Linked DNA regions of Xenopus tropicalis. The protein of the gene in region 3 purifies or fractionates together with the protein of the main gene of each other region. This does not show direct contact. Links are inferred from orthologs where the notes say so. Each region holds a gene or a part of one and is shown on either strand. Other genes may lie near its edges.

Region 1 (4,151 bases), about 24 Mb from region 3:
ATGGCTGACGCAGAACAAAAATGGATCAACACATACAGCTTTCAACATTAATAACATTTACACATAACTTTTAAAACTAATGAAATCAGGAATGCATGTATTTTGAAAAGTTAAGTTATATTTTCTTTTATTAGTCAAAAGAACTGTTTTTCAGTAGTAATTAACTTTAAAGCATGGTTACACAGTTGATAAATAATGATGGTTACTAAAGACACTTCACTCCATGGGTTCCAGGGTCCTCTAACATGCCATGCAAAAACACAGTCCTTACTACCATCCTTCTTTTCTAAAAGCTTAGAGGTAGAAAGGAGAAATGAAAACAAACCTTTTATGTCAAAATAAAGTTAAGGAAGATTGAAATGATGATCCGAGCGCCAGTTTGTTGCTGTATGTCCCACACAGTGCAAGGTGCTGCAGATAGGAATCCAAGGAAAAAGTGTAAGTGCCAATGAATTTATCCACCTGTAGAGAGAAAATGATTGAATTTTAAGCACATGGTATTTTCTTAAAAACTACAGTACCCTCTGATTCTACTCTTCCCCTCTATAGTGCCACTTACTGGGTTAGTGCTTTGATACATTAGTCTATCAGTTCAGTTATGTTTCACCCCCTTCCCAGGGCCACCCTCTTTATAATTTGGGAGTTCTGTTTCTGCACAAGTTGCACAAAACGTTGAACCCGAAAAATGCTAAAAGTAAGGTAAGGTGTTGTTATTGAATACACTATACCATGCTCTACACTAGTGATGGGCAAAACCTGAACAAACAAGGGATAAGTTAGTGGTAAATAACTAGCTGGCATAATCTGATGTGAGGTGCATAGCCCTAATGGACACAAGGAGTAAAGTAAATTGCCATGAGTAAGAAAAGGCACCAATTTGACAAGTCAGTTTTGTGACAGGGGGGCTATACCCAGGTATCCAAAGTATAGTTTTTAAGGTGTTGCTGAACCATCACTAGCAGCCTTTAGCAGAGATGCTGGGAACTGTAGCACTCAGAAGGTCCCAAGCAGTGCATCCATGCTCTACACTAGTGATGGGCAAAACCTGAACAAACAAGGGATAAGTTAGAGCCTGCACCTAGAAGCACCAGAGGGGCCTAGGGAATGTGGGAGTGAATCACTGGCTCTCTGCACAAGCAGTGCATAATGCTGCTGTCATGGGCCCTGCCGCATTCCACTCCCAAACCTATAGGAGGCGCTGTGCAGCAGCTTCCAGTTTTGCTTCAGTCTACCCATCCCCCCACCCCAGCGCCTTACCCGGCGCACAGCAAGCGCCCCCTACTGGAATGTGAGGCGCCATTTTCTAGCTGCAGTGCATCTTGGGTGGAGGCTGCCTGTTATTTTTTTTATTCCCCTTTTTCCCCCCTGCCACAGCTCGCAGCCGTGCAAATAGAGAAAACAAACAGCGCTAAAGTGCATGACTAATGCGAAGCCATCACTGTGACAGCAGGCCATGTGCAGCGCAGGAAAACACCGGCAGCAGTTCGGATCGAGCGCCTTTGTGATGGACCCCCACTACGGGGAGTGGTGCAGCCCACCTGCCGCTAAACCCTAGCGCCGGCCAGCCCATGTGTACCTGGGGAGAGGGGAGCATGCTGGTTTAAAGGTTCCTCCTACAGGATCGCGCCTTTTTGCAGCAGAAGCAGCCAGACAAGGGAGGGTGGGGGCAGCCCCTATCCCCACCCCCTCCCATATATTAACCCTTTGCCTTCATGCCACTGGGATGCCCGAGGTACGGCCCTCCGGCTTCATAACTGCACGCAATACGAAGTTCTATTTATGTAGCATGGCAGCGCCAACCCCATGCCCCCCGCTGCACCCACAGCCGGATCCTGTGCCCCTCCATGCCCGGCACCCCTCTAGCCGAGCTCCCACCGGCACTGCATGTCAGGCTGGAACTCCCCAGCAGCAGGGTGCCCACCCACACATCCCATTGGGGCACCCCAGCTAGTGGCAATGGGGGCAACAGGACTCATACTGGCACCTCCCCCATCCCTACACCCAAAGTAACAAGTCTGTCCCCACAACCATCATTATCCGCATCCAATCAGAGCTGCCCGGCACAGATGTGAGTGCTCAGTACAATAGCCAGGTATGCCCCCTGCCCACTGGGCCCATCAGCCTGCCTATCTGTCCCCACACTATCTCCATCCCCTATTTGTGTCCCTCACACTCTCTGCACTTCCACCAACTCCATTGTGCCCCGCACTTCCTGCAGCCCTCAGTGTCTCCCCAATCCTTAATAACTTCCATCTGTTCCTCACACCACCAGTAACTTTATTATCCGTAACTAGCTCTGCTCTACCCCCTGTCACCCCCCCCAATTCCTGAACTATAAATCCCATCATCCTCTATAGGGGGGATCTGGGAGTTCTAGTTCTACCTCACGTTAGGCACTCCGACTTCATGAGAAGATGCACCCCAACATACCCACCCTGTAACCATTACGCCGCTCACGGCCCCAGACATACCTGAGCCGGGGGGTTGCTTGTCAGCCCGAGGCGGTGGGCAGCCTATGGCCCCTTGGGATATGGGGGTGCCAGGCAATGCGCCTGAGCATGAGCCCCGTGTTTGTGTGTGGGAAGGGGGTGGAGTCAGTTCCCGGTGCCGGTGGCTGCAGCTGTGACTCCGCCGGGTGCACTTCCTCCTCCTGCAGACAATACAGCACGGCGGCGGCAGCGGCTCCGATCCTGCCCTGGCCAAAATGGCGGCCGCGAAGGAGCGGAAGTGACGTCAGCGCTCATTAGCATGAAGGAGGGGTGGGGGGACTCATTGTCCGGAGCTGGCGGGAGCCCGGGAAAAAACAAATACTCCACTGCAGCCGCGCACCTGGGGACCGGGGAGATGGGCATGCACAAAGGGGATCTTGTCCAGCAGGAATTTGGGGGTGAAAGAGAAAATCGGGTCACCAAGATAATCTCCCTCTCACCGCTAGGGGGCGCCTTTTGCGGACGGATACTTCAAAGACAGAAAAATTACAGTGGGAATGCGCGGTGTTCTTGGTATCCCTTCGCCACCGGCACTATTATGGGTTTGGTCACGTGGTGCTGGGTTCTCAGTGCTGCAGCCATGTGGTTTGGGTGGTGTGGAGGGAAGAGATTGGTAGGGCAGCTCCCTGACTGGGTGCCAATTTCATTGCTACTGGCACTATATCAGGAGCAAGAAGTAAGCATCCCATGAGTTACACTTCTGTGGAAAGAGGCTCATTGGGAAACTAAGTTGGCCACAGTAATGGCTGCCAAGGACTGCCAATTTACAATGGTCTCTTTGGAGGGAGGTGACATCTTCCAGCCAGTGGTCACTGTAGTTCTTGAGGATCTAACAAATGACAAGTAAAATCCCTTAGCTAGGTATTATGGTGCCAATATAGTAGGTACCACAGCATCCCTCTGGCAGTTGCAAAGCATCAGCACCTTTAGCAGAACTGATTGCTAGTTAGTAACCCATTGTGCATATAGGTGCCCTCAAAGCCAATTAGCTGCTTTCTATGGTCAACAGCCAAGCATTAAAGTCATTCTCTGATACAATCAGGACCCTATTTCATGGTATGTTTGGGGACCTGGAATATTTTCTTTCAACTAAAGTAGTTTTGGTTTGCCATTGCCCTTCTATTCTTGGGGCTTCTGATTTTCTAGACTAAAGGTAACAATACACATGCCTATTTAAGTTGCCAATTTCAGACCAATTTAGCAGCGCATCTGTATGGGCACTACCAACAGGCCTATTTATTATAAAAAAAAATAGGCAAATGTATTTAAGCATTTGATTGAATTGATTGAAAAATTAATTGAAATTATTGAAAAATGAAGACAACTTAATTCAAAGGACCAATAACCCTAAACATGATTAATCTGACTTCAAGCCTTTTATTTAATTCCAGTGTTTGCCGTCAGCTCCACTGTGTTGCAGTCTTTTATGTGTTGTCTAAACAATGCCCCACCCAGCCTATAATGTTCAGTGGATCTTTACGTGATACATATTCATAAACTGACTTAAATATAATAAAGTACAGTTCAAGTATATATTTAATGCAATAAACCAACAGTTACCATCACCAACCAGTATATTAAAAAAACAAAAAAATAAAATTATATATTACTTAAAATTGTACTCACAATTAAAGAAGATTATACAAAATTTAATAAAATCAT
Region 2 (3,500 bases), on a different chromosome or scaffold from region 3:
ACCACGGCCACTACATATAGTGCATAATAAATATCTTGTTAGCTAGGGGATTGCATGCTGCAAAATAGGGGACAAACCCCTGTGTTTACTGGGTCAAACAAAAGGACCACAAATTTTTGAGGTGGGCTCCTTTATCAGGGGGAACTTGAATGCCAACCAGATATGGCAGAGATCCCTAACCTTTTTTTACTCGTGAGCCACACAAGCATGAAAAAGTTCTTTGGGGATGCCTAAGCAACTTGTTGGGCCTTACTGAAATATGGTATTTGTAGCATCAGAAAGGCTATTCAGACTGACCTAGGGTTACCTTGTGCAGTAGATGAGCATGTAGGTGATTTTTTTTTCTTGATGGTCAGTTTTCACTTTAATGGTGTTCACAGGCACTACATTATGTTTATAAACACAGTGAAGCACCATATGTATTCAGACTTCTTTTGTGGAACAATTTTTAAATGTATAGTAAATACCTTAAGTGGAGTTAAGATGTTTACAGAATATCGCATTGTGTTTTTTTTATTGAATTGTGAATTGGTTAATTACACTTAGCTTTTTTATTTTGCTTTTTAGAACCTATTTCGTTAATGGGAAGACTAACAAGATGGAAGAATCCCAGATAAATACTGAAAGTTCTGGTGCTAAAGAACGCCTCAAAGAGGACACCAATTTCAACTCTGAAGAAAATGATCTAGTATTTAAAAGTATACAGTCAGGACAAATCATTTTCCAGAAAAATAGTTCACTGACTATGCCAGAAGACTTACAGAGGGACAGGTCTGAAAAAGCTTTAAGCAGAGTCCAGCCTTCTCTATTCATACATGCTGGTGATCCTACTATAACTAGTGAAAACCTTTCCTTGACTAAAGAAGCTACTATAAATGGACCAGTTTCTTGCTCCCCAACCATTACTTCCATCATAAGTACAGATAGCATTTCAAAAACCTTGGAACAATCCGCTGTTCAGCAAAAAGATTTGTGTTCATCTTTGAAGGTGGTATATGATCTCCAACAGCCTACAATAAAAACTGCGCAGATTTCAAGTCAGCAAGTTTTATTTTTGATACCTGATATAGCACATACAAAGAAAGATACCCATTCCATTGTAAAACTTCCTACCTCTTCTATTTGTTCTGACACAACTAATGGGAATATTTTCACATTGGATAGCACTTTAATAGAGCCTGTAGATGTGTGTGATGATAGGAAAAATATGCCAGTCAAAGAGGTATATAATCCACATGGTTGTGGAAAAGATGATTATGTAACAGGAAATGAGACCAATATGAATGGTCAAAAAGAACTTGTAAATAATGAAAACGCAGCTGGAGAATCTGAAAAAAACTGTGTTGTAAAAGTAGAGAAAAAAAGGAAGAGGAAAATGGATGGTAGTAAGATAACTCGTTGCTATTCAGAAGATGCTTATAATGATGATTATATTTCAAAGAAAAAGTTATTAAATCTAGATATGATGGAACAGAGCGATGAAGAGCAACTCCTAGCCCCTCACAATTTTGAGTTAACGAAGGTCAAGTCTGAATCCAATCTTGATGACACGGAAGAACATCTTCCAAATGAAGCGATAGATGCTATGACGCATTATATGTGTAGCCCTGTTTGTGACTTTTCTGATGAAGCATCACCTGATGATGTTGGGTCATTTTTTCCAAATAATGATTGTGATTCATTGTCACCACCAACTTGCACTAATGATCAAGAGCCATCATTTTATCCTTGCACAAAATGCAATGTAAATTTTAGGGAGAAGAAACATCTTCATAGACATATGATGTATCATTTGGATGGGAATAATCACTTTCGGCATCTTAATGTTCCAAGGCCATATGCTTGTAGAGAATGTGGGAGAACATTTAGAGACCGTAATTCACTTCTTAAACATATGATTATCCACCAGGAACGACGGCAGAAGCTAATGGAGGAGATAAGAGAATTGAAGGAACTTCAGGATGAAGGCCGAAGTGCGAGACTGCAGTGCCCTCAATGTGTATTTGGAACAAACTGTCCAAAGACATTTGTGCAGCATGCCAAAACCCACGAGAAAGATAAAAGGTACTATTGCTGTGAAGAATGCAACTTTATGGCAGTTAGTGAAAATGAACTGGAGTGCCACAGAAGTGCTGCACACGGAGCAGTGGTAAAATGTCCAAGTCTCACTTCAGATATACCCCAGAGAAAAGGTATTAAAAAAGCCTCATTAAAAAATTCTCTTTTTCTTTCATCCAAAAAATCTGCAACTTATATCTGTAAGATGTGCCCATTTGCTGCTTCTACTAGAAACAATTTAAAAAAACACATTGAATATGTTCATCAGTCATCTTCCCCTGATCACTTTAATGGTTCCCTTTTACAGAATTTCACAGATTCTGAACTTCTAAGTGTTGGTAAGGAAACAAAACACATTATAAAACCTTCCTCTTCATTTCCAAAGAATTCTGTCTTAAAACAGGATATGAAAAGCCATTATGGTTCTGTATCCCAAACAAACAGTTTTACAAAGTTGCATCGAAAGCACAAAATACAAAAAGCAAGGAAAAGTGCTGCTCAGTCTGTAGTTTGTAGTCCATCCATTTCCCCAAATAAATCCCTTCTCTTTACTAGCAATGACCAAAAACATAGGTATTATCAACAAATTACAAAACCGAAATATGCCAGAGCGAATCATGGCTACAGATACGGTCAGAATTTCAAAATGTTAAAGAAGTCTAATGATTTGTATCCATTAAATTTAAAAAAGGAAGATTCATCTAGTACTTTAGAGTTGCTTTCAGCATCCACTGATCTTCAGAATGATTGCTCGATTATAGATGCTGAGTCTTTACAGCCAAGGAAATTTGTTGCTTTTAAAGATCACAGGCGGGTAGCTGTAGAAAAGGTGCTTAAACCAGAAAATGAACATTCAGCCACTGAAGAAAGTTTAGACTGTTATCCAGATTTCCTTAAAAAAATGACTTTTGTTGTCCTGAAAAAACTTCACCCCTCTGAACAAAAAGATGAATATGATTCATGGGAAAATGATGAAATATATGAATATACAGAACCTCCTGATGGACCTTATAATACAGGAAAGCAATCAGTTTATCCTGTATTCAAGGAGAAATTGAACGATGAGCATGGTGATGAATCCACCCTGCACTATAATAGCAATGATGGTTTTTACTTTGAGTATTATGAAGATGGGGAGGGGGATGTATTTATACAAGACATGCCTGGTGCTAATCATCTTGAAAATGATGACTCTGTGCTGCAAGAGCATAGTGCTATATTCCATTGGAGTGATTTGTCTCTGGAAAAGAAAAATTGTCCTTATTGCCCTGCAACCTTTGAAACTGGGGTTGGACTGTCAAATCATGTTCGTGGGCATCTTCACAGAGCAGGATTGACGTATGAAGCTAGACATGTGGTGTCACCAGAACAGATTGCAACTAGTGATAAAATGCAGCACTTTAAGAGAACTGGAACACCAACGAAACGAGTTCGAAAAGGTA
Region 3 (3,709 bases):
CAGAGTTCCCTGTATAACTCAGCCTGCAGCCTTGTGCCTTTATATGGTCACAGAACCCCTCAGTGACTGCTAATATCCTTATCATTTACAGTAGGGGGTACATTATCCCTTATAATACGTGAGTGATACTCAGAGTTCCCTGTATAACTCAGCCTGCAGCCTTATGCCTTTAGGATCGGAAAGGGTTAACCCCCATGTAAAGGCTGGAAACAGAAGGGAAGGCAAATAATTCAATAACTATAAAAATAAAATGAAGACCTATTGAAAAGTTGCTAAGAACTGGCCATGCTATAACATACTAAAACTTATCTTAAAGGTGAACTAACCCTCAAAACAAGTTACATTTTCATCTCTGGCAATACCAGATTCACAGTGATGATTCTCTATCTGCCTGGCAGAGACTCACTAAATAGATTTGCCCCTCTCAGGGCAAGTCCTGGCCGGGGGGGGGGGGTTCCTTGCAAGCAGGCTCTGGGCACAGCAAACAGAGCGACAATGAATTATAAATCTAAAAGTTTTATTAGGACGACAGACTGACAAAATGCTAAGAATTACTTTACATTAAAACGAAGTTTGCACAAACCTAAAACACATGCTTTTTTAAAAAAAACAAAAAAAAAACCTGGAAAAAAAAAAAAGGAAAAAAACTACAAATCTGACAGTTTATACAATGAATCTGTATGTAGTCACAGCGTGATGGCAGAGACCCCGGGGCCTCAGCTTGAAGGAATTCTGGGGAAGTGTTAGAAAATGGGATCAGCACCTGTTTCAGCTTCCTGCCTGCCAGGACACCCGCCCCCCACCCAGCAATGAGATTCCCATAACCGTTCTTATACAGGGTCCCCAAAGAGCCCCACGTGGCGAGTTCCTAGGCAGAAGGATCTGCAGCTACCTGTTGGACTGTCTTTCTTCTTTCCAGGGTGACAATGATATCGAAGCGCTTTGTCCCCCCTCCCGCCGTGGCCTCACCGTCTCACCCACAGACATCACTAAATGGACATGCTACTCAGTAAAAATGCAGAGTTTGTAACACTATCGGGAAGGAGGAGGAGGAGGAGAAGCTTGTAGGATGCAGTGTCCCCTGTGCTAGGTTCCTCCTGTCCACGTGTCCCCGGATTTCTGCCGATAATACATACCAAATATTCAGGACAGACTGAATCCTCCACGGCTCTCCCCCTTCCTCACTCTGGCGTGAGTGACTGGCGTATACATCTCACCCGCTAACTGTGGATCGTTGGTGAATTGTTGGGGGGCACTTAGTTTTTCTCGTCTTTCTTGTCATCTTCCTCGGAAGGGTAAGAATGCCACGTCAGCCGCTCCTCGTAGAACGAGATCACCACCTGGGGGCACTTAACGTTGGCTTCCTTGGCCGGGACGAGGTCGGCTTCGTCTGAGTTTTTCCTGTGGGGGAGGGGGATGTACCCATTGCTGCTTAGCACTGTATCCCCCCAAATAAGGAGCACACCCCAATGAGCATGCACAGGATTATGTTTAGGGTCATGCAGGGTTCCCAGAAGCAGATACACACTGGAGCCAGTCATATCTGCTACATGACTGATGTAAAGGTAAGTAAACCCAAACTTCAAATGCAATACACATTTCCAGTGGTTTTAAAGGGGATGTTCACCTTCACACAATAGTCTGAAGTTGTTTTGAAGCTACCGATCGTTGCTGCTAAAACTCTCTCTTTGGAAGGGATCTCCAACACCATTCTGGCTAAACAGGAAGTTGACACTGAACTGGTTACAGAGCACGCCTTCCCTCTGCTGCTTTATTTGCATATCTTTGAAACCATTGGCTGGCAAAATTCAGCCAATCCGATCAATTTAATGCAAATGAAGCAGGAGAGGGAAGGCATGCTCTGTGGCCAGAACACAAGTTGGTGTCCGTGATCCCTTCCAAAAAGAGAGCAGAGAGAGTTTTAGCTTCAGACTATTGTCTGAAAGTGAACATCCCCTTTAAAGTTGCAAATGACCTAGGAGAGGTGTAGAAAGGGACCCCCCCCCCCCAAGGATCTCACCATTTCATTAGGAACATCAGCTCTCCGCTGGAGTCTGTGGCACCAATGATTCTCTCCGGTTCCAATCCGCGTGCAAAACCACGTGGTTTCTCCACCTGGAATGAGAAGGAGGTTATGTTACGTGGCTACTTGTGGTGGTGCCACATCACTGGCCCCAAATACCGAGTGAGCTGATGGTTTACAACTCAGCCGACACGTGGGAAAACTTCTGTTCTTTGGGGTGCTCACAAGGTAACTAATTGATTTGTACTAGACCCTTCCATGTCCAGAGGCCTGTGCATATCACAGTCTGCTGGGAAAAATAAGGTAGTCTAGGACTTCAAGTCGCTCTGCTTTCCTGAAGTCCCAGAATCCATCACTTCAACATGGAAAAGGGATTTAAATGACTGTCAGCCTAAAGGGGTGGGAAGGACGGATCTTACGAGTCAGACTATCATGGCTTCCTCCCAATCTGTGGAATTAGGTTTACCTGTGTAAAAAGGACAGTATGTATGTATATGTATTTCTCGATATTTAGTTTGTCTTTATTTCTACAGAAGTGTGAGCTCCTGTCATTGCAGGGGGCATTTTCCCTTTAAAAGCAACTGAAAAGCCATTTGACTCACTTCATCCTTCTTCTTCTTGGGTTTGCTCTCCTCGCCGACCTCGGTGTCGGAGTCAGCCTTGCGCTTGCCTGCCTCTGTTTTCTCCGACTCGTACGCGGATTTTTGCGACTGCAGGAACTCTGCGATGAGATCGGGACAGTCCAAGTTCTCCTCCGGCTCCCAGGTGTTATCGTCGCTGCAAACAGCACAGGGATTCACAGAATTCTCTCCCCCCCACAATAAGACCCTTCATCCAAACTGCGCAATGTTGCTTTGCAACTGCAACCAAGTTTCTTCCGCATTGGGAAGGGGCCGGGCACGCCAAGCTGCAGGGTAATATCTAATGGGCACGGCCGGCACTAAAGAGAATATAGTGGCCCTAGTAAAGGACCTGTATCGCCCATGTCCAAGATGAAGCCCTCCAGCCGTCACTGAAATACAACTCTCAGCTCAATCCCAGCCTCAATCACCGGTTGAACTATCTTTATCTATTTAGGGTGTTTTATTTAAAAGGCAAGTCAAGCCAAAATATAATTTTTGCCCAATAAAAGAAAACATAATTCTAAGCAGCTTATTTGTATATATAATTGCTATTAGAAGTTGCATTTGTCCTTTTCTATTCCCTGCTTTGGGGGTTCTGACTTTTGAAGCAATAAAAAAAACACAAGGCAGCAGCCTTGCTGACCTTTGCCGACAATAGCTTTTTGGCTGCTGGGGTCAGTGACCCCCCCCATTGGAAAGCTGGAAAGAGGCAAATAATTCAAACACTGCTAAAAATGAAGACCAACAGAAAAGTTGCTACAAATATGACAATTGTACTAAAAAAAAACATGAAACATATTTTTACTGTCGAACGTATGATTTTCTCTGTGGCAGCTCCTGGCAGTGGGCAAATTTAACTCTATAAGTGCCAGGCTAAAGCCCCTTATCTATAACCCCTGCAGCCTTAGTGGTAATTACAGGGTTCAGTAATTGGTTCTGCTGAAGATACACTACTATGGGTCAGACCAATTGGCCTCTGAATTGCTCAGGTTCCCCCAGTCACATGTGTAATACTGGGTACCCCTGTGCAGGGAGCCCTCCATACACCCATCATAGAGGCATC
Region 4 (4,212 bases), on a different chromosome or scaffold from region 3:
ACCTGCGTAATGCAGACATATTGCAGGCACTATATACAGTGAAATGGTAAGTAACGCCCCATGGCAATTTATAAAAATTAATACAACAACAGATATTTGATTTTATTTCAACAATACTCATAAGGAGTATGGGACCTGTTATGCAGAATGCTCTGGACCTGGGGTTTTCTGAATAAGGGATCTTTATGTAATTTGGATCTCCATACCATAAGTCTACTATAAAATCATTTAAACACATAAATCCAATAGGATTATTTTGCCTCCAATAAGGGGTAATTATATCTTAGTTGGGATCAAGTACAGGTACTGTTTTATTATTACAGAGAAAAGGGAATCATTTAACCATTAAATAAACCCAATAGGGCTGTTCTGCCCCCAATAAGGGGTAATTATATCTTAGTTGGGATCAAGTACAGGTACTGTTTTATTATTACAGAGAAAAGGGAATCATTTAACCATGAAATAAACCCAATAGGGCTGTTCTGCCCCCAATAAGGGGTAATTATATCTTAGTTGGGATCAAGTACAGGTACTGTTTTATTATTACAGAGAAAAGGGAATCATTTAACCATGAAATAAACCCAATAGGGCTGTTCTGCCCCAATAAGGGGTAATTATATCTTAGTTAAGATCAAGTACAGGTACTGTTTTATTATTATGGAGAAAAGGAAATCATTTTCAGGCGATGGTCCTCCCTTAATTCTGACCTTTCTGGATTATGAATCCCATATAGTTCCAGGGCACAAATAAGCACTCACCCCAAATCCCCCCCTAACTGGCCTTCAGGCTGGGCCCCCTTAGCCCATAACAAGGTTACAGATATATAGAAACATTGGGGTAACAGTCACCCTGCTATAGTTCCAGGGGTACCCAGGGCACAAATAAGCACTCACCCCAAATCCCCCCCTAACTGGCCTTCAGACTGGGCCCCCTTAGCCTATAACAAGGTTACAGATATATAGAAACATTGGGGTAACAGTCACCCTGCTATAGTTCCAGGGGTACCCAGGGCACAAATAAGCACTCACCCCAAATCCCCCCCTAACTGGCCTTCAGGCTGGGCCCCCTTAGCCCATAACAAGGTTACAGATATATAGAAACATTGGGGTAACAGTCACCCTGCTATAGTTCCAGGGGTACCCAGGGCACAAATAAGCACTCACCCCAAATCCCCCCCTAACTGCCCTTCAGGCTGGGCCCCCTTAGCCCATAACAAGGTTACAGATATATAGAAACATGGGGGTAACACCCTGCTACAATACTAGGGGTATCCCTTGGACAGAAGGGCAGCACATTGCATGTACATTTATTGCCCCAGTAAAACCCCATCCCAGCCCCATTACGCTGCATTGTGCCCACACATTCCAGTTACTTTGCGCTCTGAGACACAAGTGGGATCCTTGCTGCAGTTCCTATCGCGCCCCTAGATGGCGCTGTTCCCGCTCCGCACCAGGGCCGCTCTATGGTAGGGGGCGGGGAGGGAGCGGACGCGGGAAAGTTTGTAGCAGACGTAGAGCAGAGAGCGGATCGCTTCCCCGGGCAGGTAATTCCGTGTGTTTGTGTGCAAGCTTCTTATTTAACCCGTGTATGCACTACAACTCCCACAATCCTGTCAGACACAGCAGACACTGGCAGTTCGGATAGCGCTAGCCTGGGATGAGGGAGTAATGCCTATAGGAGTGTTATTGCTGCTTCTCTATTATATCAGGGGCTTCTGATTCCCTCCATCTGCTCCATAGTGACTGCATTATTGCTGCCATTCCCACACTGGATCCTATTGACTCCCCTTTGCTGCTCTTCATACTTTCTATTGCAACAGATGCGTTAGAGTTCAGCGCCAGAGCTTGCAGCCCCCCCCCCTACTGCACAGATAGCCCTGCATCATCCATATACTATTGCACTCATATAGCCATTCCTTGTATTCTGCAGTGCGTTTGTGTGAGTATACATAATTCCCATCAGTCCCTGCCCCAGTGAGCTTACAATCTAAGGTCCCTATCACATTCCCATCAGTCCCTGCCCCAGTGAGCTTACAATCTAAGGTCCCTATCCCATTCCCATCAGTCCCTGCCCCAGTGAGCTTACAGTCTAAGGTCCCTATCACATTCCCATCAGTCCCTGCCCCAGTGGAGCTTACAATCTAAGGCCCCTATCCCATTCCCATCAGTCCCTGCCCCAGTGAGCTTACAGTCTAAGGCCCCTATCCCATTCCCATCAGTCCCTGCCCCAGTGAGCTTACAATCTAAGGTCCCTATCACATTCCCATCAGCCCCTGCCCCAGTGGAGTTTACAATCTAAGGTCCCTATCCCATTCCCATCAGTCCCTGCCCCAGTGAGCTTACAATCTAAGTTCCCTATCCCATTCCCATCAGTCCCTGCCCCAGTGAGCTTACAATCTAAGTTCCCTATCCCATTCCCATCAGTCCCTGCCCCAGTGAGCTTACAGTCTAAGGCCCCTATCCCATTCCCATCAGTCCCTGCCCCAGTGAGCTTACAATCTAAGGTCCCTATCACATTCCCATCAGTCCCTGCCCCAGTGAGCTTACAATCTAAGGTCCCTATCACATTCCCATCAGCCCCTGCCCCAGTGAGTTTACAATCTAAGGTCCCTATCACATTCCCATCAGCCCCTGCCCCAGTGAGCTTACAATCTAAGGTCCCTATCACATTCCCATCAGTCCCTGCTCCAGTGAGCTTACAATCTAAGGTCCCTATCCCATTCCCATCAGTCCCTGCCCCAGTGGAGCTTACAATCTAAGGTCCCTATCACATTCCCATCAGTCCCTGCCCCAGTGAGCTTACAATCTAAGGTCCCTATCACATTCCCATCAGTCCCTGCCCCAGTGAGCTTACAATCTAAGGTCCCTATCCCATTCCCATCAGTCCCTGCCCCAGTGAGCTTACAATCTAAGGTCCCTATCACATTCCCATCAGTCCCTGCCCCAGTGGAGCTTACAATCTAAGGTCCCTATCACATTCCCATCAGTCCCTGCCCCAGTGAGCTTACAATCTAAGGTCCCTATCACATTCCCATCAGTCCCTGCCCCAGTGGAGCTTACAATCTAAGGCCCCTATCACATTCCCATCAGTCCCTGCCCCAGTGAGCTTACAATCTAAGGTCCCTATCCCATTCCCATCAGTCCCTGCCCCAGTGAGCTTACAATCTAAGGTCCCTATCACATTCCCATCAGTCCCTGCCCCAGTGAGCTTACAATCTAAGGTCCCTATCACATTCCCATCAGTCCCTGCCCCAGTGAGCTTACAATCTAAGGTCCCTATCCCATTCCCATCAGTCCCTGCCCCAGTGAGCTTACAATCTAAGGTCCCTATCACATTCCCATCAGTCCCTGCCCCAGTGAGCTTACAATCTAAGGTCCCTATCCCATTCCCATCAGTCCCTGCCCCAGTGAGCTTACAATCTAAGGTCCCTATCACATTCCCATCAGTCCCTGCCCCAGTGGAGCTTACAATCTAAGGTCCCTATCACATTCCCATCAGTCCCTGCCCCAGTGAGCTTACAATCTAAGGTCCCTATCACATTCCCATCAGTCCCTGCCCCAGTGGAGCTTACAATCTAAGGCCCCTATCACATTCCCATCAGTCCCTGCCCCAGTGAGCTTACAATCTAAGGTCCCTATCCCATTCCCATCAGTCCCTGCCCCAGTGAGCTTACAATCTAAGGTCCCTATCACATTCCCATCAGTCCCTGCCCCAGTGAGCTTACAATCTAAGGTCCCTGTCACATTCCCATCAGTCCCTGCTCCAGTGAGCTTACAATCTAAGGTCCCTATCCCATTCCCATCAGTCCCTGCCCCAGTAAGCTTACACTCTAAGGTCCCTGTCACATTCACACAGAACATACAGGCAGGTTGCAAAAGTAAATTGCAGAATTGCTCGGGGGAGCAGGTTCTGCTTGTTTGCTTTATTTGTTTGTGTCTTTAGTTCTATTTTAACTCCCCCCTATATGTAATAAAAGGCACAAAGTGCAGTAACCCATAGCAACCAATTATAATTTGATTTAAACTGGTAGCTACCTGCTGATTGGTTGCTATGGGTCGTAAGCATTGTAACAAGCTTTGTTCCTTTATATTACATAACCCAATAAAGGTCCAGTCTTTTCAAGCAGAGATTGGGGGTACAGTAGCCTCTCTGCCATTGGAGGAATTGCCTGACAGAGCTTAGCTGATTGGTCTGTGTGCTCTTCCCTTCCAG
Region 5 (4,031 bases), on a different chromosome or scaffold from region 3:
ATGTTTGTTTTATACAGGAGACCAGTAAATGCTGGTTGCTATAGGTGATAAGAACTGTGGCAAACTTTGCACACTGTATTACATCCATTTAGCATCCTATCACCTGGGGTTAATTAAGCATACCCGCTGGGTAAAACCTAAAGTGAAACCCAACAAGGATAATTTGGGTATATGCAAGCATGCTCCACATTAAATTTGGTCAAATTAAAACAAAAAACAGTCTACAACTGTGCAGACAGACAGGTCAGTATACACAGAAAGGATGAATGTGACAGAGGTGTGCAACCCCAAGCAAAACTCATATTTTGCTCAACTGTGGTCCCAAGAATGAATCGGTGGGCAGAATTCCATAATATCTTGAGAGTTGTAGGTCGTTAACTACTATAATATACCTGTTGGAGAAGATGCTTCAAACTTGTGGGTTTGCCCACCCTAGGTCAAGCCAATGGGTAAGGAGCCCAGAACAATGAAGAATGAAGGGAAAATGTGGCAAAAAATCCATTCATTTATTTTTCTGGTTATTACTAGAACTGTAATTGGCGACTACTACAAAGTTTTCATGTATCTATAGCATACATGCTAAGAAGGGATTTGTCTACATGTCTGCTCAAAAACGGGTTGCTTGAATGCAAAAAAAATTGAAAACCCTGAGACAAAAATTTGAGCATGCAAGCCCATCAAATGACCAAGTAGCAATGAACCAATCTGTGCCAGTGAATACCTGGATACTACAAGAAGTATTGCCTCCTAACTTCTTGTTGTACCATTAATGAAATTCTGATATACAGTTACTGTTTAGGTGTGCCAATATGGTCTGTTAGTTTGGACATATTCAACTATCAACAAAACAAGGTGGTCATTACATGGCTGTCTAAATCAGACAAATCTACCCACTAGACAACTGAACCATGTTCAGTTACAGAGTGGCATGCAGGTGCCTGGCTACAGAAGACATTTAACATGAAAACACTAAAAAAAAAACCAATGTAACATACATGGTAGTGAAAAACTTAAATAGACAAGCATAATGCTGGAATGACAGACAAGTCATGCAGGGTAGTAAGATAAAGCTCTACAATAAGTGAAAGATGTAGAGACAGATTTGGGGTATGTACAATTATGACATGCACAAGTGCCAAGTTATATAAACTTTTATTTCATAAGTAACCCATAGCACATTTAGTTATCCTTGTATTAGGTGTTTTACATTCTACTGCACATGTTCATCCCTACATATGTAGAGGCCTATAGAGACATAAAGACTGAGAGGTACATAATACATAGAGACCACAGAATGAAGTCATTAGTAGGGAAGCCCCAAAAAGATAGGAAGTTGATAACATAAGGCGTGTATTTTGATCAGGGACCTCCAGCATATCCCCTCCAGCTGTTGCTTAACTAATATTTCAGTATTATTCAACAACCACAGCTGGAGGTGCACACTTAATGCATACCTACACCTAAAGACTGATAAAAGAGGAAAAAGGAAAGAAAATAGACAAAGCTTGTTGCTGTATATGTAATATATATTATACACAGATTTGGGAAGGATACAGTGTATTAAATAGATATAAACAGTTATGGGGACATAGGATCCCGAGAGGATATTGCCTGCAACAAATTAGATAAACCTTAATGCAAGCCAGCTTGTCATTCAGTTTACCAAATGTTACAATGTATCCTTTGCTAGCAGGGGAGACAGGGACATATGATTAAAAAAAGCATCTCAGAAAAGGTAATTAAGGAAATAGCACACAGGGGAACGGACACTATAAACCTGAGACACACTGTGTGTATCCTGTAGGTATGAGGCAGACGGACCCCCTGGTATAGAAATTACCAGAGGAAGACTCAAATTGGCCCCCATGAGATTAGATCCCAGCACAGAGTGCATGAACGTTCCAATTCTGTGTATGTGTGCGCGATATAAATAAATGGACTAAAGAATACAGCTATTATTATGTATACGAATGTACATCATTACTACAATCTCGCTCTCCATCTAGATACAAGTATGAATGGCTTTGGCTAACACACACCAGAGACACTTAACAGCACACAAATGTCTGGGGTCCCCCAGGGATGGACGAATTGAGGCCCCACGGCTATTTCTGAACGCAGTGAAGTATCACAACCCCCCCTCCCCAAACACTAAGCTGTCAGGAGGTGGGGGGATGCTGGGACTTGTAGTACAATAACAGCTAGAGGACCAGATGTTGCACTGGACTAACCATTGCCCCCTGGAACTTGCAAAGCCACATTACATGCTAGCCGTGCACACTCCCCCGTAAACTGACACCCCACGGTGCTTCTCTCTCTCACACACACACACAGAGCAGCAGCACCCCCGAAGCAAAGACTGACCGCTCCCCGCCGGCTCCTGCTCCTCTCGGCCACTCATGGCTGCTCCGGCTCCGGTCACGCTCAGCATAGTCACATCATCTCTCGGCCTCGGCGATCCAATTCCCAGGTGGCACCCCCAGATATAAGGCTGTAGTCCAGATAGTCCCGGCTGCCCGTGCGAGGGATCTGGCTCTCACCCCAGTCGCACACACACACACGGGAATTTCTCTCTCTATCTCTCCTTCCCCCAGGCCCTTGTTGCGCCTCTCTTTGGTCACCCGCTGCTCTATACACTCCAGGGGGGTTGTTTGTTCTCGGAATTACACGGTGCGCCCTTACTGCTCTCCGGTAAATCCCCGTTTTTTCCGCGACTCTCTCTCCTCCTCCGTGTCTCTGCGCTGAGTGTGTCTGAGCCGCCTCCGCCCGCTGCTGGCTCCGCCCCTTCTATCTTACTCCCCCTCCCAGTGCCGCGTAGCGTGATGGGACATGGAGTCCTCCCCACTGGGCCTCTCACAAGAGGTTTAAGGCATGCTGGGAATTGTAGTGTGTATTCTGTGAAGGCCACGGATAGTGCACATGCGCACAGTTTCTACTTTCAGATTAGACTGTAGCGTTCTATTCTAATAGTCTCTTGCAGCAAGGCACGCTGGGATACGTAGTTTCTAGTGTTCTTTTTATCCCTATATGATGGCTGTATCGGAGACTTTAAATAAGTCAGTATACAGAGCTTAGTGGCTCATGGGACATCTCAAGAGAATTGGCTCATAACTGAACCCCTGTCAGGTTTGTGTGCATGCATGCAGACCGAGTCTGTGGGTGATAGTTTGTAGCTGGTATAAAGGTATTCTGGTAACTGTAGTTTCTATAGTTCAGCGGCAAGGCATTCTGGAAGGTGTAGTTTTGTAATAGGTTATCTAATGTAATATACGCACGTTTGTTGTGGAAGCGATTCAAATATTTTTGTGGTGTTTTCTGTCACGTGTATGAATGAAACAGAGTAGGGGAATGTGGATATGTGAGCAAGCTGGAGTTTTAAGGCTCGTTATATCAAGAGATGTTTAAAAAAATTGCCAGCAAAAAAATTGCAGCAATTTCTGAAATGTATGTAATCAGTAAAACTTGCATGTTTTACTCTTACATGACTTTTACATTTTTTTTTTCTTAAATAATTACTGAAATCATTTTGCCACCTTAGACCTCCTACAGCCCTATTGTTTTAAATGGGAGTGACAGAAAATAGCAATATTTTAATAACCATTGATGAAATGTCTGTAGTCAAGCTCAGACTTCTGGAAATGATACATACTCACAGGTGTAGGGTGGCAGATCTTATGTAGGGGGGCAGCAAGTTTGCGCATCTCTTAACTTAAATGGGAACCATCCCTTTTATCTTTTAGTATGTTATAGAATGGCATGTTCTAAGCAATGTTTCAACTGGTAATCATTATTTTTTTTTTTTTATCGTTTTGAAACTATCTGCCGTCTTCAGTCAACTTGTGGCTTTCAAATCGGGGTCACTGACCCCAGCAGCCAAAAAACTATTGCTCTGTGAGGCTACAGTTTTGCTGCTGTTGTTAATTTTTATAACTGATTTTTCTATTCGGGTCCTCTTCTATTTCTATAACAGTCTCTCGTTTAAACCACTCCCTGGTTGCTATAGTAATTTGGACCCTAGCAACCCTGTAACT
Region 6 (4,044 bases), on a different chromosome or scaffold from region 3:
ATTATGAAATGGCACAATCTCAGATCTCATTGATCAGAGAACAAAAAAAAACCCCACAAAGAAATTTTTTTGCAAAAAGTTTATTCAGATCAGATTGCCTTAAATGTGACCGCCTGTAAATAATTAAGGATACAAAATGTGTAGAAAAAAAAAAAGATCTGCAGAGTCTACATTTTTTATATTATGAACTGAATAAGTGTTGAGGTGCAGGTCCTTCTTTTCTCTTCTGAAGTATATAAGCTATTAACTGTTCTCTAATGCATTTTTCCAATGTGATTTGGAGTTGCAGAGTTAAGCTTAGCATCTTTGAAACATGTACACGTTTTATCCTTTGCCACAATGTACTGCTGAGTGGTTCTGTTTTGCAATACTGTGGAAAGGTGCAAGTTTGCTGGTCAGATGGTAGGCATGTGATTTTGGGGTAAAAATACTTAAGAGCAGCATCTTTTATTTTTTTCAGTCATGTTTTTACTTAAATTTACAAGCAGCATCTTTGAAAACCTCTAGGTATATGTTTTGTCCTTTAACAGAATTATTTTCTGAGCTGTTCTATGCAAATGTGCAACCTCATTGGTAAGATGTGCATTCTGTGATTTTGGGTTACAGTGATGCCAGACTGAAGCTTAGCAGATTTAAAGGAGAAGGAAAGGCTAAGTCACTGGGGGTTGCCAAAATGTTAGTCGCTTAACTTTTACCCCGAGCTGGTGCTCCTGTTAGGAGAAAACTGCACCAGCCCGAGGTAGCTGCAACCAAGTTTTTCTTCTTCCTTCTTCGGTCGGCTTCTTCACTCTACTGCGCATGCACCATCCCCGGAATTCAGAAGACAAAAAAAAGAGGAATCACTTGCTGCAGCTATCCCAGGCATGTGTGGTGTGGGCACCAGCCCAGGGGAAAGGTCACTGGCAACATTTGGCACCCCCAGTGATTTTTACCTTTCCTTCTCCTTTAAAAACCTTTGTGAACATTTGTCCTTTGCCAAAATATGCAGCTGAGAAGTATTGTTATACTTTGGAATGGTGTAATATGATTGAAGCCTGTGATGTTGGTTGTAAAAGGATGGCATATTGATGCCTAGAACCTTTAAAAATTCCTAGGCGCATCTCCTTTGTATCTAAAGCTGGCCATACATGCAAAGATTCCCTCAAATCTTTGCACAATTTGGCCACCTACACTTTAGGTGAAATTGGACTGATCCAATTTGACAGAACAACAATGAAAACCAGGCAAGCTCTGCAGACATACTGATCATTGGGCTACAAGTTTTTTTTCCCCTCAGTATATAATATCTGAAACTCTTTTTAGTTCCATAAACCCCATTAAATTTGTAGCATCAGGTTTTTTGGCCCATGATTGCATGCGAGTATGAAAACAGTACCAAACCAGGAATACAAAATATCCAACATCTTTTATTTATTTATTGATATAGTTGCAGGCAGTTAAGTAGCACTTTACAATTATTTTTAACAAACAAGGGTCTTAAATTGAGTAACAAACAAGGGTTACAAAATAAAAACGGTAGAAGGTCCCTGCTTACAACAGCTTACAATCTAAAGGATAATGCAACGCGATCCTAAAGGATGAACTAACGGAAAAGGCAATGTTTAGCCTAATAATAATAGTAGTAAGAATGCCAGTATTAAAAATGCTCAAGTGCAAATGAACTAATTCACCAGAGCCTGACAAGACAAAGGTTTATAAATATAAAACAGATTTGTGTGCTTCTGCTAAACGAAAAAGTTCAGAAAACTTCCAAATCCCCCATTCTAATAAGTTCTACAATCCCCCCCCCTACCATAAATGCATAACAAGTTTCAAATAAAGGCAACTTACTCTTATTTATAAACTCAAGTAAACCGACGGCAATTTTATAAACTGATAATATCTAGTAGTTAGAAAGGCTTGTGCAACATACAAATATGTACGTGTGTGTGTGTGGCAGTCGTCTTATAATCCATTTATTGCTTCCTATCCCTCAGACAAGAAAGCTTTCCTTGCGAATAGGTGAGAGTGGACTGAGGGTGCATAGTTTGATTCTTTGCTCACTGCCCCTTCCAGATTTAAAGTTTACAAACCATTTTAAAGAGACAATCGAGTTGTGTCAAGTGCCAGAACTGGGAGAGAGGAAGAGTGCAAACATGACTAAGATGTGGGGTATATTTATCAAGCTGTGTAAAAATTGGAGTGAAGCATTACCAGTGCCGTTGCCCACAGCAACCAATCAGCAATTAGATCTTAGCAAAGCATCTGATTGGCTGCTATAAACATCACTGGTGATGTTTTACTCCACTTTTTACACAGCATGATAAATATACCGCCTGCAACCATCCTCCTTTTGTATCTAGGGCCGCCATCAGGGTGGGTTCTTGGTCTTATGGGGTGCCCGGCCGTGCTGGACTTACTTGGATTACTGGGCCCCCTGCTATCAGTGAGCTGGACACTTCGGAAGCGAGCTAGGGCTCCCACATGTTGTTTCCCTTACACAACTTTCTGTATTGTTCGTGTTGTTATAGAAGTTTTAGTCCCGCTAGATCCGCATGGGGAATGAATAGGCTGTGGGGGAAGTTCAAACTTCACTTCCGAAGGCTGCAGCTCACTGACAGCACTGGGGGCGGCTAATCCACGTAAGTCCATACTGCCCTAACAGTCCCGCTTTTCGCTACTTACCCGCCCCTCAAAGCTCTTAATTGCAAGCTCCTGGCATCCAGTCTTACAGAAAATCCCGACTCCAAAAGTCTCATCACGCGAGACTGTAGCGTCACGACTACACGTAGCGTAGTGACGCAACACGTAACCACCTTGGAGGCGTGGCTAGCAGAGAAGTTGTAATTGAACATTACTTTGAAAGCGACGTGTATATGACAATTGGTGTAATGACGCGTCTTTTCGCTTTTTTAAGAAAAAAGTACGTTTATTTTGTGTTGTTGCCCACCTAACTCGCTGCCACCTCAGCTTCCAATTATTTCCAAATATATCACTTTTATTTTCTGCTCGTAGACAATGGAACCTGAAAAAGGACTATTTGACTAAGAACGCAAGAGTTTCTGTGCGAACTAGGGTCCTGTGAAGTAAAGTCGTGTATTTTGAGAGCCCCAGTGGTTTTATTTCTTTTTTTGCAAAAGCGACAGAATAACTGTAAGTGCAAATTCATATAAAGGAGTGGGAGAAAGTGACCAAAAATAATCTTATAATCTTTTATTCTTTCTTTTCTGTGGTCCTAACTGAAACGGGCAGGTTCCTTGTCAGTTCTGCAGAAAGTTCCATGGGCTCAAAAGTGCATGCACTAAGCACATGGGCGTGTAAATGAGAAATTCTCATTTTGCTGTACCAATTGTTTTTTTCTTATCCCTAATGTGATAAGATGCACTATGGCCAATTCTCTCAGTCCAAATTTTGGGTTATTGCAATCACATTTTGGCCAATTACATTCATAATAAAGGTTGAGGATTACACATTGCCACATTACACTTCAATACACAGCTGTATTGGCCTGGATTTAGACAAGGGTATGTGGTATGGTATTCTAGTTAATGGGACTGTGAGGGAGATGGATCAGCTGTAGGAACATGGCCCATCATAGCAACCTATAGTACTGATGTTGAACATAAAATAAACATAATCTAAAGACCAGAACATTTAGAGCTCCATTAACCCTATATTACCTACCTACCAAAATTGGTTGGGTGTCTACCATGTAATAAAACAAGCTTTAAAAGTTCTGCAACTAGGATGTTGGGCCTAATAGGGCCAAATAGTTGTTAAAAGTCACGGTGCCCTCATTAGAGTCATTCCCAGTGGTTGCAGCAGTTTAAACCCTCCAAACAAACCCCACTGCACATATATGCACATACTTATACAATTGGGAAAACCGGGCAGATTGCCCCCCCCCCCCAACTGTGCAACCTGCCCCTGTGACTTCATGCCCCACCCCCATGATGTCATACCCTGCCTTCTTGCCCACAGTTACTGGGCAGGAGAGGTGGCAACCCTAAACCCTATCACTGCCCTAACTATGAAAAACCACCTACGCTGCTTTAAATAAAAGAT
Region 7 (3,500 bases), on a different chromosome or scaffold from region 3:
TGGACATGAATGCCAAGCCAGGGGGGCTGCTTTGACCCGGTGGCTTTTCCGTCTTTTTATGGGGCCACCATAAACCGAGGGCCACATCTCTAGTACAGAACACAAATGCACACATGGATGGAGTCCCCTTGGTTCTAGCAGATCTTCCTGCAACCCTATTGGATCGCAGATGATTGGACATGCCTAAAAAATGTTCCAGGGGACCATGTTGGTCAGTCATGGCCATCACTTCCTGCATGTAGTATCCAGTTTGGTGGATCCATCTAAGGTCAAGGTCTTCAGGCCTTTAGATACTTCTAACCTTTACCAATGCTGTTGTCATGATCATCTCCTGAAAGGCACCACCTCGCTGATCATGCTTGACTTGACATAGAAGATTGGACAAGCCTGAAAATGTTCCAGGGGACCACGTTGGTCAGTCATGGCCATCACGTCCTGCATGTGTTTGGCCATCATGTAGTATCCAGTTTGGTGGATCCATCTAAGGTCAAGGTATTCAGGCCTTTAGATACTTCTAACCTTTACAAGTGCTGTTGTCATGACCATCTCCTGAAAGGCGCCACCTCGCTGATCATGCTTGACTTGACACAGATGATTGGACAATGTTGGCCAGACATGGCCATCAGGTCCTGCATAATGTTTGGCCAATCATGTAGTATCCAATTTGGTGGATCCATCGGATCCAGCTAAGGTCAAGGTGGCAAGGTCTTCAGATAGCCAATAGATACTTCTAACCTTTACAAGTTCACCTTTCCTTTAATAGCCCCACCACTTACCTTGTTATCAAGATCAAAGAGGTAGGTGTCATCCTCTCGAACGTCAGCCTCTGCGTCCGAAATCAGCTCCCCCACATACCTGGGGAAAGAAAGCCAGACGGACATTAAAGGGGTTGTCCACCTTCAACGTAACTTTAAGTACGATGTAGATCTTGATAGACAACTTGCAATTGGTCTTCACTTTTAATTCTCTGTGGTTTACTGACTTGTGTTCAGCAGCTCTACAGCTTGGAATTTCAGCAGGCGCCTGGTTGCTAGGGCTCACATTACCCTAGCAACCAGGCAGTGGTTGGAATTAGAAACTAGAAAATGAATAGGGGAGGGGCTAAATAGATGGATAAGTAATTAAAAGTATCAATAACAATAAAATTGTAGTCTCGAGTGCAAGTTTTTTGGCTGCCGGGGTCAGCGACCCCCATTTGAAAGCTGGAAACAGTCATAAATAAAATAATTCAAAAATCGTAATAAATAAAACACGAAGACCAATTGAAAAGTTGCTACGAATCGGCCATTCTATATCATACTAAAAGTTAACTACCCCTAAGCTACTACTAGATTCTTCTGGTTCAATGCAGGAATGGAGCCCAGAAATGAGGTCTCTGGGGCAGCTGGGAATGCTGGGAGTTCATGAGTTTGGTGGCCGAACCCTCCTCCACTCTAAACCTTTTGGAAGCGGAGACATCTGATCCATTTAACACAATTAGTCTGTTTAACATTCCAATGGCCCCCCCTTGTGGATCGTTAAAGGAGTAAATCTGCAGATGCACGGCCGCTTTACTGCTCTTTACAGAAGCTGCGGACAAGCAGGCAGGAAAAGCAAGATGGGCCACAGGGAGGTGGCTCGTTCTGATTGGATGCTGGGACAGAAGGTCGGGGCCCAATCAGAAGGCAGATTTACGCACACACTTACTCGCATACGAAGGTCCCCTGGGGAATGTCTTGCAGGGATCGCACCCCCCAGCCTTTGCTTTTGGTGCGGAACAGTTGCAATCTAATCCTGGAAAACGGGAAAAAAACGAGATTTCGGTGAAAAGAACCCTGGTAGGCACTGGCGTAAAGGGGTAGGGGGGAAGCGTCACTCACTTCAAGCCATTTTGAACCACACGGTTGCGGCAGTTGCGCCAGCAGGAGCAGGCGTGGTTGCATTCGAAGATCAGTGGGGGCTCCAACATGTTGAACTCTGGTAACAAGCGCCCGTTCTGGAGGGAAGAAGAAAAAAAAAAAAGGTATTGGAACCTCATATAAACCAAAATGGCTGCCCACGTGCCCGACGCATTTCGCAGCGCTTACCTTGTCGTACCAGCACCTCATACTCAGCTGGCCGCACATACAGTTACTAGAGGAACAGTCATCGATGCACACACAGTACTGAAAGGGCAAGAGGGACAAATCAGTCTGGTACCCACTCTATGGCCCCACCCCCCCTAGCGGCACAGCAATAAGCCCCTCCCTACCTGCAGATGGGTAATGTTTCTGTCGATGTTCAGCGGGGAGGTCACGCAGTTCTGAGAGACGTATTTGTAGTTGACGGGACACAGCTCGGAGTCTTCGGCGTTGACGCAAGGGATGGGGATATTCTCGTACCCCCGGGATATATCCCTGTTGTAATAAATAAAGCACGAGGGGGGTTAAAATTCAACCATATTTGCCAAATATCAAATGGGGGTCACTGACCCCGGCAGCCAAACCCTATTGCTCTGTGAGGCTCCAGTTTTATTGTTATTGTTACTTTTTATTCCTTATCTTTCTATTCAGCCCCTCCCCTATTCATATACCAGCCTCTCATTCAAACCTCTCCCTGGTTGCTAAGGTAATTTGAGCCCTAGCAACAGGATAACTGACCCCGGCAGCCAAACCCTATTGCTCTGTGAGGCTCCAGTTTTATTGTTATTGCTACTTTTTATTCCTTATCTTTCTATTCAGCCCCTCCCCTATTCATATACCAGTCTCTCATTCAAACCACTCTGTGGTTGCTAAGGTAATTTGAGCCCTAGCAACAGGAGAACTGACCCCGGCAGCCAAACCCTATTGCTCTGTGAGCCTCTTGTTTTATTGTTATTGTTACTTTCTATAACTTCTTTTCCTATTTAGCCCCTCCCCTAATCATATACCAGCCTCTCGTTTAAACCACTCGCTGGCTGCGAAGGTAACTTGGACCCTAGCAACCAGATAAGCTGCTGAAACTCCAAACTGGAGAGCCGCTGAACCGAAAACGAAATAACTCAAAAACTACAAATAAAAAAAATGAAGACCAACTGCAAATTCTCAAAGTGACTCAAAGGCGAACGACCCCTTTAAAGGGCACTTTTCAATAGAAAATTGTGTTCTGCCCCACCAAGATGCTGGCTAATAGAGGAAACTATATGATTTTAGGTAAATACTCCTCCTGGCTTGCTCTCTGCCGCCCAAACCGACTGGCAGCTCCCAGTGGAGGCGGCCATTTTGGGGGAGTCCCAGCTCTCTCATTATATGCATGGGCAAAGATGGCCCCCTGCACTGGAAGCTCCCTAGGAGCATTTCTTGGCCAATATAGTAAAGTCAGGGGGGGGGGGAGCCAACGGGGTTGCCCTAGGCAACCCAGTTGGCCACCCCGCCAATTGTCATTGTGCGGGGGCGGGGGCAATGATAAGTACCTACCCCTAGTTCTGGCCCGGAGTACAGTTCCCCCCACCCGGAGTGTGGGCATTATTAGCCAAAACCATTTCCCTATGATAGGTGCCCATT

The links.
Region 1: the proteins of cbx1 (region 3) and adnp purify together in Homo sapiens (affinity purification with mass spectrometry; 6 studies listed by BioGRID and IntAct, with this or other methods). This does not show direct contact. The link is inferred for Xenopus tropicalis from reciprocal best matches to the Homo sapiens genes CBX1 and ADNP.
Region 2: the proteins of cbx1 (region 3) and znf644 purify together in Homo sapiens (affinity purification with mass spectrometry; 3 studies listed by BioGRID and IntAct, with this or other methods). This does not show direct contact. The link is inferred for Xenopus tropicalis from reciprocal best matches to the Homo sapiens genes CBX1 and ZNF644.
Region 4: the proteins of cbx1 (region 3) and chaf1b purify together in Homo sapiens (affinity purification with mass spectrometry; 4 studies listed by BioGRID and IntAct, with this or other methods). This does not show direct contact. The link is inferred for Xenopus tropicalis from reciprocal best matches to the Homo sapiens genes CBX1 and CHAF1B.
Region 5: the proteins of cbx1 (region 3) and ahdc1 purify together in Homo sapiens (affinity purification with mass spectrometry; 4 studies listed by BioGRID and IntAct, with this or other methods). This does not show direct contact. The link is inferred for Xenopus tropicalis from reciprocal best matches to the Homo sapiens genes CBX1 and AHDC1.
Region 6: the proteins of cbx1 (region 3) and znf280d purify together in Homo sapiens (affinity purification with mass spectrometry; 4 studies listed by BioGRID and IntAct, with this or other methods). This does not show direct contact. The link is inferred for Xenopus tropicalis from reciprocal best matches to the Homo sapiens genes CBX1 and ZNF280D.
Region 7: the proteins of cbx1 (region 3) and ehmt1 purify together in Homo sapiens (affinity purification with mass spectrometry; 3 studies listed by BioGRID and IntAct, with this or other methods). This does not show direct contact. The link is inferred for Xenopus tropicalis from reciprocal best matches to the Homo sapiens genes CBX1 and EHMT1.

Annotation. Positions count from the first base shown.
Region 1 is NC_030686.2:35,649,635-35,653,785, reverse strand, and holds the start of adnp (activity-dependent neuroprotector homeobox protein), read right to left. Parts: upstream 2,801-4,151; 5' UTR 2,472-2,800; intron 1,675-2,471; exon of another isoform or gene 1,577-1,674; intron 463-1,576; 5' UTR 326-462; intron 1-325.
Region 2 is NC_030680.2:105,028,341-105,031,840, forward strand, and holds part of znf644 (zinc finger protein 644), read left to right. Parts: intron 1-567; coding exon 568-3,497; intron 3,498-3,500.
Region 3 is NC_030686.2:11,718,020-11,721,728, forward strand, and holds the end of cbx1 (chromobox protein homolog 1), read right to left. Parts: intron 2,801-3,709; coding exon 2,626-2,800; intron 2,116-2,625; coding exon 2,021-2,115; intron 1,402-2,020; coding exon 1,257-1,401; 3' UTR 501-1,256; downstream 1-500. UniProt on the Homo sapiens protein: Component of heterochromatin. Recognizes and binds histone H3 tails methylated at 'Lys-9', leading to epigenetic repression. Interaction with lamin B receptor (LBR) can contribute to the association of the heterochromatin with the inner nuclear membrane.
Region 4 is NC_030678.2:12,933,201-12,937,412, reverse strand, and holds the start of chaf1b (chromatin assembly factor 1 subunit B), read left to right. Parts: upstream 1-1,412; 5' UTR 1,413-1,543; intron 1,544-1,916; exon of another isoform or gene 1,917-1,938; intron 1,939-4,212. UniProt on the Homo sapiens protein: Acts as a component of the histone chaperone complex chromatin assembly factor 1 (CAF-1), which assembles histone octamers onto DNA during replication and repair.
Region 5 is NC_030678.2:78,143,556-78,147,586, forward strand, and holds the start of ahdc1 (AT-hook DNA-binding motif-containing protein 1), read right to left. Parts: upstream 2,801-4,031; 5' UTR 2,432-2,800; coding exon 2,365-2,431; intron 1-2,364. UniProt on the Homo sapiens protein: Transcription factor required for the proper patterning of the epidermis, which plays a key role in early epithelial morphogenesis. Directly binds promoter and enhancer regions and acts by maintaining local enhancer-promoter chromatin architecture.
Region 6 is NC_030679.2:100,159,080-100,163,123, reverse strand, and holds the start of znf280d (zinc finger protein 280D), read right to left. Parts: upstream 2,801-4,044; 5' UTR 2,665-2,800; intron 1-2,664. UniProt on the Homo sapiens protein: May function as a transcription factor.
Region 7 is NC_030684.2:4,277,875-4,281,374, reverse strand, and holds part of ehmt1 (histone-lysine N-methyltransferase EHMT1), read right to left. Parts: intron 2,376-3,500; coding exon 2,231-2,375; intron 2,145-2,230; coding exon 2,067-2,144; intron 1,976-2,066; coding exon 1,860-1,975; intron 1,774-1,859; coding exon 1,687-1,773; intron 856-1,686; coding exon 777-855; intron 1-776. UniProt on the Homo sapiens protein: Histone methyltransferase that specifically mono- and dimethylates 'Lys-9' of histone H3 (H3K9me1 and H3K9me2, respectively) in euchromatin.